2 linked regions of the Arabidopsis thaliana genome follow. The protein of the gene in region 2 interacts with the protein of the main gene of each other region in a biochemical or structural test. Each region holds a gene or a part of one and is shown on either strand. Other genes may lie near its edges.

Region 1 (5,354 bases), on a different chromosome or scaffold from region 2:
GAACTCAATGCACATTTTAGTACAAAACCAAAATATACAACTATCGTCTATACATGAGACACATTTCAACAATGGCCAACAGAAGACTAAAAGTGGTGCAGAAATTATATGGAAACTCAAGTATTTCCTCAATGATAATCCAACAGCACAAACATCAGACTGCCTCTTTTCATTTGCTAACCTGCAACACTGGATGAGTCTTCAACCATGCGTCCACCACCAAGTGCCCCACCGGACACATGAAGTCTTGCATTTACAAAGACCTAAATAATTAACCAAAGAATTTAATAATTCTGATGAGGACAGAAAAGAGAACCAAAGAGGAAGAAGCATCCATACTGCTGCATGCTGATATCTGGAAGATGGTGAGACACCAGGGGCTATGGCCCATTCCCAACGTCCATCTCTGTGCTTCGCAAGTCCATATGCACTGGCCAGAGGCTATCAATTCAAACGTAGAAAAAAATTAAGCTCCTCAATCAACCATTCAAGATTAAAGCAGTCCATTAAGTTTCATATTTCACTTTACGCAGAATTGACAACTTCTCATGATCATGTATAAACACATAATTGATAATAAGCTCATTCCTTGTTGACAAAAGAAATTATAGTTCCTTTTCTCGTAGAAGCTTCACGAGGTCTTGCACACAATTTATGTTTGTTACTTCTTCAGAGTCTGTGTTGAAACACACACAAACTCTTGATTAATTTACCTAGCAGAGAAGAGTTACATCTCCATCTGCTCTGGAACATAGAATGAAGATCGTTCATTGGACCATTAATAAATTTGTAGCTGGGGAAATAAAATACTTTTCAATTTGCTCAGTGACAAAACTCAACCTCTATAAATTAATTGACTAAATCTCACGGTCCCATTTTTATCTCACACTAAAAGCAAAAGCCAAAATAGAATCATGCCTCTATAAGTGGCTCAGTGTTTGTTTCAAAGAGATAATTGGGTATGACTGTAATAAATCTCTTCACTTACCACACTGTTTGCATCCCTTCCACCACAGAGGAGAAGAAGACCATCGGAGCGCGCACTTGCAGTTGCATACCTAGTTACAACGTACAAACAGATATAAACAATTACTCCAGAAAGCTCACAATCATAAAGGAGTCTAATCAAACTTACATGCAGGGAGGTGGACCTTCCCCTTCTGGTTCCAACTTACGCCATTCATAAGGCTTGGCGGCAGTATCCAAGGCCCATACATCAGCAAGTGGACGTTTTCCTAGTAGTTCGAATGGAGTTCAGAAGGGTGAAGCTTTAATGAGAATATGATACCCTTACATAAAACACTGAGAATAAGCCAATATGGAAAACTGCTTACCATCATTTCCACCAATTGCCATGAGATACCTTTGCCCCACGAGTGCCATGACATGTCCATAACGAGGTCCTGGTCCAGGACCCTGAACAACAACCCTGGATAGAGACATAATCAATATCAAGACACGAACTAGTAAAATGAATTTTCAACCGAGATAGTGGCAGGCATATTTTCAAACCTGTGCCATCGTGGCCGTTGTTGAGTGAGATCAAGAACATGAAGGTCTTCAGCCGATAAACCAGCAGGACCAATTCCACCCTGTACAACAGAAAGAATTTATAAGCACTTTCATAGCTGACTGGAAATGCTCATCTTACATTGATAAACTTAAATCATACACATAATATAAAAACATCATTTCTCCCCTACCTGAATAACTACCATGGTCCCGACTGCAGTTGCAACATGTGCGGCCCTCGGGGTTGGTGGTTCTCCAAAAGGTGTAAGCCTGTAGCCTCAATTCATTTAATTAACTGGTATCCACACTTTTAAACGGGGTAGGATCTCATGCATTTTTCATAATTAGCGTGAAAACCCAAAGACATTCACATTTAATGCTCACCTAGTCCACTTATTAGAAAGTACATCATAACAATGAACATCAGCAGTTGCCCCAGCTAGCCCTGCAGAGAAAAGAACACCCAAATTAATTAATACAACCAGATAAATCTAGGAACCTTAAGAAATAACAAGAACTAGAACATAGAATCTATCAGCAAATAAACGGAATTAGTGATCTAACATTCCACAGCCAATACTGTGCCCTGGTACTACATCAAGCTCTTTGCTCTACCGATTCCAAATGAAATAGGATGCAATAAATGTTGAGGAAACACTGCCACCTCAGATTGCCAGTTAAATTTAACAGATGTGAAGCTTTCAGAACTAAAGTTTCCAAACTTAGACGATCTCACAAGATTGCAAGCAAATAACCAGCGTATATCTTTGAAATAGGTAAATCTTTAAAAGTTCAAGGCTTGGCAAGGGCCCTCTATCAGAATAATTAAGCCATAAGAAAAGAGTTAACTTTTTCAATCGTTCAGGAGAGAACCTTCAAAGCAAGGAAGGCAAACTACAACTTCACAATAGTTAGGCAAAGGAGAAGGAAAATGTAGAGCGGTGATACTTAAAACTATTTAACAAGCAGAGAAGGAAAACGTACGAATGCCGGCACTTCCAGCTGAAGTAGGAGTTCCGGTGCCACCAGAATTTCCCTCAAGAGCCGTCGCACCACCAAACAATACAAGACGAGGACCAATATAACCAGGCGTTCCTTCATCACCAACAGCAGGCACAGCCGTCAAGGTGTGACCACACCTAGGGCCAGGCCCATCCTCTTTTTTATCCATCATAGCATCCACCACCGAATACGTAGGTGCACACCTCGGACCAACAACTAGCGCCGGCTGCTGCTCTTGTCCAACAACCGCAGCCGCTTGCTGCTGAGAAGTTGCCGGATTAGGATCCGAAGGCGGCGGCGTAGGCACCGATCCGCCTTCAGGAGGAGGTGATTGGTCGTTCATCTGCTGAGGCGTTTCTCTTTCCATAGGCGAAGGAGATTGGCCTCCATCAAGGCTCTGAAACTCACGATCCTGATCGTTGTCAGCCACCATAGACGAATCTTCATCCATTATCAAAAAGCTTCAAAAGTGGGAAAACAAAAAAAAAAAACTAACTAAAGAAAGACCGATCCAGCTAAAATTCGCAGAAAAGCGAATCTGTGATCAACAACATATCTGATGTTAAACTTGCCGCTCTCTCGGAGAATATTCCGGTAAAATCGAAACCCTAGTTTTCTTTCATTCACCGGTCAGATCCTCGAGGCTTGTTTACAACAAACAGAAACAGTTATTTTCCAGGGAAATTAATAAAACGATGCAGCAAGCAGACATTCACACATTTAGGAAAAACCAATTTTTTTTTTTTGTTTATCTCAAGTTTCTCTCTCCTCTCTCCATAAGTACAACAAAGCCTAATCAGTCTTAACCCTCAAGGACGCCAATGGAACGAGAGACACGAACCAACTCATTGCCAAACGTACGAACCGAAATCACTATAACATTTCTATTTACTTTGGTTTTATATCGATTTGGTAATGACATATTTAGCAACAAGAATTGGTTATTGAAATGTTTAAACTTTAAAGTTTCATTATCACTATTTATTGTTCAAAAGAGTCCAAACCCCAAATAAGAAAAAAGTTTAAAGTTACATGAAAACTCTATTTATGGCTATTATATTCTCAAAACAAAGCGATAGGTATCTCCAACTGGCAAAAACAATTCTCCATTTTCCACCAGATTTGAGTTGTCACTTTTTTCTACTTTTCCCCAAAATAAGACTTTAATCATAAAAACAAAAACATCAAGACACTCGAGAACTACTGCGACAGGTTCAACTGCTGTTACATTTTTTGAAAAAAAAAAAAAAACTTTAAGTAGCTTCGGTTGCCATCTTTGCTTGGATGGACTACAATTTGATAATCACCGCATCGTAAGAGGACCTGTGTTAGCTGGTTTCTGGAAAACTTTAACAGAAGGCATTCCATCTCCATCTTCTGTGTTTTGAACCCTCCAAGTCCGATCCTTTTTCCTCTGTGGCTTTTTGTGCTGTTTATGTGACGCGGTTTGCTTCTTTGCTGTCACTTTCTTTGAAGACTTAAGCCCATTGGCAAGATCAAACGAGCTCAGATCATCTAGCACATCATCAATACCAGGAACTTGCTCGTTTTCTGTCTCATCTCCTACTGCAGAGTCATCGGACTCTGAACCTTCGAGAATATCCTCCAGTTCTTGAGTGTCTTCTATGTCCGGTTCATCAGCTTGGGGCATTCCAGGTGGCATTGCATAATGTGGCAGCTTACCTCCAATGTAATCTTTCAGAATCAGCCTTGCAGCTTTCGTTTCATCCGGTAGTCCACTCGAGGCAACATAGCCACGAGAAGCACAGTAACTTTTTAAGAGCTCTGCAGCATGAGGCGGGCGGGACTGACGCTCATAGGTTTTGGGTTTAGGAAGAGAAATGTTGTACACACTCTCAATTACACGGCGAGGGACCTTGTCAGCCACCACCTGAATAGCTTCACGGTGCTCCGTCATCCGGTCAATCGGAAGTACACCAGAAGCAATCATTTCATATCTTGAGCTTGAGAACGAAGGGAAGACTAAACCAGGGCAATCGCATAGCATAAGCTCATCAGAGATGATCAAAGTCTGGAAATGCTTTGTTTTTCCTGGGGTAGAGGTGACACCTGTTCGCTTCTGACCCACCAATGCATTGATTGTAGAACTCTTTCCAACATTTGGGTACCCAACAAATCCAACCACGGCTTGATCACGTTGATATTCACCAGTCCATGACTGTGATGATACGGATGCTGCTCTAGAATTCCTTACTTTGACAATCTCTTGAGCCTCAAATTGCAAACGACTCAACAGCTCGTCTCTGCCATATATCATAATGTCTGGATCATCTGTCTTCTGCAAGTTATCGGGTTGTCTCCATTGCTCTTTCAAGACTTTACCTTCTAGGGTAGCTGTAGCAGCTATGGCTGACCAGAAAACAAACAGAATGTTGTTAAGGCGGAAATATTCTGCCCATTTCTCCCTACAAGTCAAAAGTTAAACCAATCGGTTAGAATACAAAAAAGGTTGGAGGCAAAGTATTAAGGCACAAGAGGATTGGCTAACCTGACATCAGTAGGTAAAAGATCCGCCTTGTTCACTAGAAGCATTATTTTTTTATGCTCATCAATTTCTTGAGCATATGCCTGTGTCACGATGAATCTTCAAGTAAATATGAATCAGGAATACGGTGCCAAGTGGAGTTTCAAGCTGGGAGAAAATGCATTACCTCAAGATCAGGGCAGCGGTAAAACAGTGGATCTCTAGCATCAACTACCATAACAATCTGAAAAAAGGACAAGTATAAGTAATCAAAACTGTTTTGCAATTAACTAAAACGCAGAAATTGAACTTATTGAGAAGGTTAATACATTATTGACAAAGACTTACCAAATCA
Region 2 (5,346 bases):
CAAAAATATTCTTTTGAGCCTTGAAAATCTGAATTCACACAAGTGGGCCTAACTATATAAATATGTTCATTCAACTTTTAAATACATTTTTCATAACACAAAAAAGTTTACGTGTACAACAATTCCGATGTAAAAATCACAAAGTGGTTGTAGAACGCTTCTGGTTCCAATAAGGATGGTAGATATGTTATAATGCTATCTGACTAAAGTTTCAAGTTTGCAGAATGTTAAGCGTTATATGAATATGATCCATATGAATCCAGTGGCAGCGTTATATGGATGTTGGGGAGTCATGATACCGGTGTTGGAGGCTGTGAAGAAGGAATATCTATATGGAAAACAAGTCGCTATATAAACAATCATGTTTTCTACAACTAAAAAAAATTTGTATGATTTGCGATGTAACAGATGGATCGCAACTAATAATTTTTGAAGAACTTATTGTAGTTTCATCAAAAAGGCGATAGTAAAAAAAAGAAGATCAAAGATGAAAACGAATAAAAAAAGTAACAGAATTATTTCTCTGGTAGCATATAAGTCCTACCTATCGAAAGAAGCAACGTGCGATTTTACTTTTTCGATTATTTTGTTTTACCTAAATATTGGTTGTATGTGTATGTTTATTGATAACCATGTAATTTTTGATTCAATATAATAAAATTAAATATTAAAAAAAATGAAATGAAAAAGTTTACGTCCAAAATATTAATTTTTTTGTTATGAAACAAAATCTTAATCGAATTAAATAAACCGAAGTTATTGAAGCAGATGAAATTTGTAAGAAATCAATTTGATGTTAGTACATATATAAAAACAAACATAAATCTAGTATTAACTAAATTGCCATGTTTAAATGTTTTAACAAAATTTGGTTTCTAACAATAGTCTCACCAAACAAACTTAACCAAATATAACTTGAAAAACAAGTTAATAAAAATTTACTTCACTTTCATGGAGTCGGAGTTGGTGGCGTAGCCCCTCTCCTATTCATACCGGCCCAAGTACGAGCATCATCCACGATTACCCTCCTTCTCTCAATAGCTTCTTCACTAGTTACGTATTCTTCTTCTTCTTCTAACATCCTCATCATTGTCTCATCCGGTGACCTCGATGTCCCCGCCCCATCCTTATTTCCTCCTAGTAGTCTACGCCTAGTTCTCCTTTCCTTCCTAATTGTGTGATCAATGATATACTTAAGACACTCCACGACTTGGCTGATCGATGGTCTAGCGTTTGCTTCTTCTGCTAGGCACAGAAAGGCCACTTCAATACCTCTATAAAGAAGTATATTCGAAAAACCGCCTTTTCTTGCTAACCTTGGATCTACAATCTGCCTTATTCTGCCATTCAAGAACAACGGTCGTGCCTGTTAAGAAAAAAAAAAAGAAACACATGAACATGTCGTCATCAAAATCGGAACATTCATTAGTCTAATACGTATCCACACATCATTAAGGGCCATAACACGAAACTCTTTTTCATCAGCATAACCAAAATCAAAACCTATATATGGTTAAAGGTCAATAGTAAAACCACTACCATTTTTACGAAAAATCAAAATTGATAGCATATGGTTTAATGGTTAATTGATTAATCTAAACCCTAAACCCTAAATCGTAAACGGTATAATTATGCAAAATCGACCAAAAGGTCACCATCAAAACAATTTTTCTCTTAAGCAAAATTGGAATTTAGATAGATATAATCTGGTTATATAGTCTAAAAGAAGCAAAGCCTATAAATGGTCATAAGGAAAAAACTAATCCATCCTTAAGCAAAATAAGGTTGAGAGGATTACCCAATGCACAAGATAGCGACTTTGATTACCAACGCATTCGGATGAGGGCATAAGAGCTTTGCGTCCACTGATAAGCTCCAGCAGCACAACTCCAAAGCTATAAATATCAGATTTCAGCGTCAACTTCCCGGTGTTCGCGTACTCTGGTGCACAATACCCATGAGTTCCCATAACTCTAGTAGAGACATGAGACATATCATCACTTGGACCAAACTTTGCAAGTCCAAAATCTGAGAGCTTAGGTTTATAGTCATGATCCAACAATATGTTTGAAGTTTTCAAATCTCTGTATATCACAGGAGGTTGTGCTTCGTTGTGAAGAAACGCTAACCCTTTAGCCGCTCCTAGAGCTATCTTCATCCTTGTCTTCCAATCTAAAGCCTCTTGACCCTCGCTAAGATCTGACAAAACAACACAAGAATTTAAAAAACTTTAATGAATCTCGTTCTTGAAAATTTCTTGGTTTGAGTGTAGTTTTTTTTTTACCGTAGAGATGATCTTCTACAGATCCAAGAGGCATGTATTCATAGACAACGAGTCTTTGATCGCCTTCAGCACAATAACCGAACAAATGCACTAGGTTTCGGTGGTGCAAGAGCGAGAGCATTAGGACTTCCACAAGAAACTCTTTGTCTCCTTGAATACCAGACTGATCAAGCATTTTAACAGCTATGTTCTTGAATTAAGACCAACAACAAAGCACAATGACAAACAGTTAGAGATTTCACAACGACAAGATTATTGATTTGATTAGTCCAAATGTTAATAATAGATTACCTGTCCAGTGCTTAGCCTTCCTTTATACACAGTTCCAAATCCACCTCTTCCGATCAAAGATTCATTCCTGAAGCTGTTAGTCGCGATGGCGAGTTCTCTGTATGAGAAAATCTGACATCTGTATCTAGAAGAATCTTGCACTACGGTTTGTGAACTTGACGAATCTACTTCTTTTGCTGTTCCAGCTGGTTGGGCTACAGAGGAACAAAACAACACAATGAGAGACTATATCACATATGTTATTGGATCACAAGTAGATTAAAAAGACATTTATCAGCCAAATACACAAATCTTTGAACTATAAAACACAAACCCTAAGCCGGGATTTGTACGATCCGTATAAACTAATCACAAGACAAATACTATATGTATCATTAATAAATAAGCTATTTAAAAGAAAAGGGAGATTTTATCATGATTTACTACTAATGACTGGTATTAAAGATGACTAATCTCAAGATTAATCTATAAATAATAATAAAAAGATCAAAGGGAAGTGAGAGGAACCAGAAGAGGAGGATGTCTGGTTACGTATGGATCTCTTATGAGATTTGTCTTTGAGCTTCGTTTTCCGACTGGGACGAAAACACAAGCAACTAACCATGTTTTCTTTTAATCAATCTCAAGGAAAATAATCTTTTTGTTGTTGGTGTCACTCAATAAACAAAGATATACACACACATACACTCTCTATATGGTTTATCAATAGGGCTCAAGAGATGATCACACACGAGGACAAAGAACTAACGGTTTTGTTATCAAAAAGATGAAAACTTTGAAGGAATCAGACGAACCCCAAGAAACACACGATCAACAGAGATTCGAGTTTTGGGAATAATTTTCCATCAAAAATTGATTACAAAAAAACACGAGAAATTTGTGAGGTGATAAGGAAGGAGATTTAGATTAAAATCGAGAGTTTTCGTAAAATTTTGGGGGATTTAGATAAGATTTGGTTGAAGGGGTTTTGATAGGAAGGAAAGACACGTAATCAACAAAAGAGAGCATGGGGGTGCAATATATATGGTACGTTACTCACCAATTGCTTCTATGAGATAAAATCATTTATTGTTTTATTATGCCATTGAGGGTAATAATCTACAATGTTAATTGTTTTATAGTAAGTTTCTCCTTTATATCCCTGGAATTTATAATTGTGATAAATGTTGGATTCTGAATTTAAACTAATTTTTAAGACAAAAATTAGAAAATAATCCTCACGTTAAGTATTTCTAAATTCTAATAGTGATATATTAGATGATAACTATGTTTGTTATGCATTCAAAAAAGGCCCAAAACTATAGACGTAACGACAAAAAAATTATCAACGTTTTTGAAATTCATTGAAGAATTTTTTTTGTTGGTTGGTTTTGGTGCAAAATAATTTTTAAGTGTATTGCAAAAACCGCAGAGAATAACAAAATTTTGATAAACAAATTCATGTAACGTGAGCTACAAGTATTAAAGATTCCCAGTCTAAAACTCAATAATTTTTAACAGACGATGAAAACGGCAAGATGCTTTTCCCTATGTTTAACCTCAAAATTAAAAGGAACGCTGATAATGGTAAAATTTAGGCCAATATATCCATGCAATGTAAGTTAAAAGATTTTATCAAAGATTCTCTGTCTGAGACATAAGACAGTTCCGAACCAAATTTGGAAACACATTCAACTTCTATTTCACATTATTCAATATACGATAATGATAATTATCGGAACTTTTTTTTTATGGTTTCTATGGATTTTATGACTCCATTCTTATCATTTTGTGCATAAAAGTCTAGTAATTAACAAAACTAAAGAAAGAGGAGAGGGAAACAGTATTAACAAGTATTAATTATACGAACGTATACACATTTGATTCTTGGTTGTGTTCTTCTCTAGCTCCACTATGAGGTTCAAATTCAAAAGTTGTTTTTGATTTAGCCAAGACTTTAAAGAAGCCTTGGCCGAGATTTTATGACGACAGATAACGGTCAATAATGATGGTTAACGTTGTTGATCGGTTTTTACGATCGGTTAAGGTTCTGACATTAGTACAATATGTAATGTAAATCATGTGATGTGAGTCATGGAGCCATACCACTCTTAAAATTTGGAGATTGTATGGTAGTACGTAGAATAAAAAGTATGGTAGACAGTACATGATTATGAATGAATCATGACGTTCTCAAATCTTTTTGTAATCAGATTTTATTTCCATCACAATTATTTATTTTTAGTCATTACAAAAGTTTACACCAAAATAGCAATTGTTACCTTTAAAATGCATATTTTACAAGAACTACTTACATAATTAGTTTTGTCCATCTTAAACTAGCTCTCACCTATACCTGAACCTACTTGCAATGTTAGTAGCAAATTTCTAACGACGAGAATAATAATAATGAAATTAACAATCTGCAAGTGGTAGTAAATTGAAGTTTCACTAACCGAGAATCAATTTTTGTATTAGGAAAAGTTTGATTCCACGAGATGATGTTCCATCTTTAATGTCTGACACCAGCTTTATTCCTCTCTTAATCTTACTTTGTTTCTAATAAACACCAGAAGTCTTCTCTTACTTATAGCTGGATATATTTGACTTCGGTTTAATTAGTTAGTTCGGTTTGGGTTTAGTTATTTAGACCTGGTAAGAAAGCCGGTTCAATTTAAGAAGGGAGTAGTAAAACCATATATTGAACCAAGAGGCCAGCTAGTTACTCGTAGGCCTGGGCGTTCGGTTTGCTTAATTCGGTTTGGGTCCGGTTATTTAGAACAAAAAGTTTG

What was found. The genes of interacting proteins can lie anywhere in the genome.
Region 1: of the proteins of CDG1 (region 2) and BSL2, one has a biochemical effect on the other in vitro, tested with the Arabidopsis thaliana proteins (one study listed by BioGRID).

The regions. Positions count from the first base shown.
Region 1 is NC_003070.9:2,647,570-2,652,923, reverse strand, and holds the start of BSL2 (BRI1 suppressor 1 (BSU1)-like 2), read right to left. Parts: upstream 3,466-5,354; 5' UTR 2,966-3,465; coding exon 2,497-2,965; intron 1,958-2,496; coding exon 1,897-1,957; intron 1,783-1,896; coding exon 1,704-1,782; intron 1,593-1,703; coding exon 1,513-1,592; intron 1,430-1,512; coding exon 1,335-1,429; intron 1,236-1,334; coding exon 1,136-1,235; intron 1,059-1,135; coding exon 989-1,058; intron 442-988; coding exon 340-441; intron 264-339; coding exon 182-263; intron 1-181. Other genes in the region: AT1G08410 (P-loop containing nucleoside triphosphate hydrolases superfamily protein), read right to left, coding at 3,818-4,940, 5,024-5,103, 5,187-5,243, 5,348-5,354. UniProt on the Arabidopsis thaliana protein: Phosphatase involved in elongation process, probably by acting as a regulator of brassinolide signaling.
Region 2 is NC_003074.8:9,935,758-9,941,103, forward strand, and holds CDG1 (Protein kinase superfamily protein), read right to left. Parts: upstream 3,549-5,346; 5' UTR 3,180-3,548; coding exon 3,083-3,179; intron 2,770-3,082; coding exon 2,576-2,769; intron 2,475-2,575; coding exon 2,285-2,474; intron 2,200-2,284; coding exon 1,799-2,199; intron 1,367-1,798; coding exon 950-1,366; 3' UTR 825-949; downstream 1-824. UniProt on the Arabidopsis thaliana protein: Serine/threonine-protein kinase involved in the positive regulation of brassinosteroid (BR) signaling and plant growth. Mediates BR signal transduction from BRI1 receptor kinase to BSU1 phosphatase.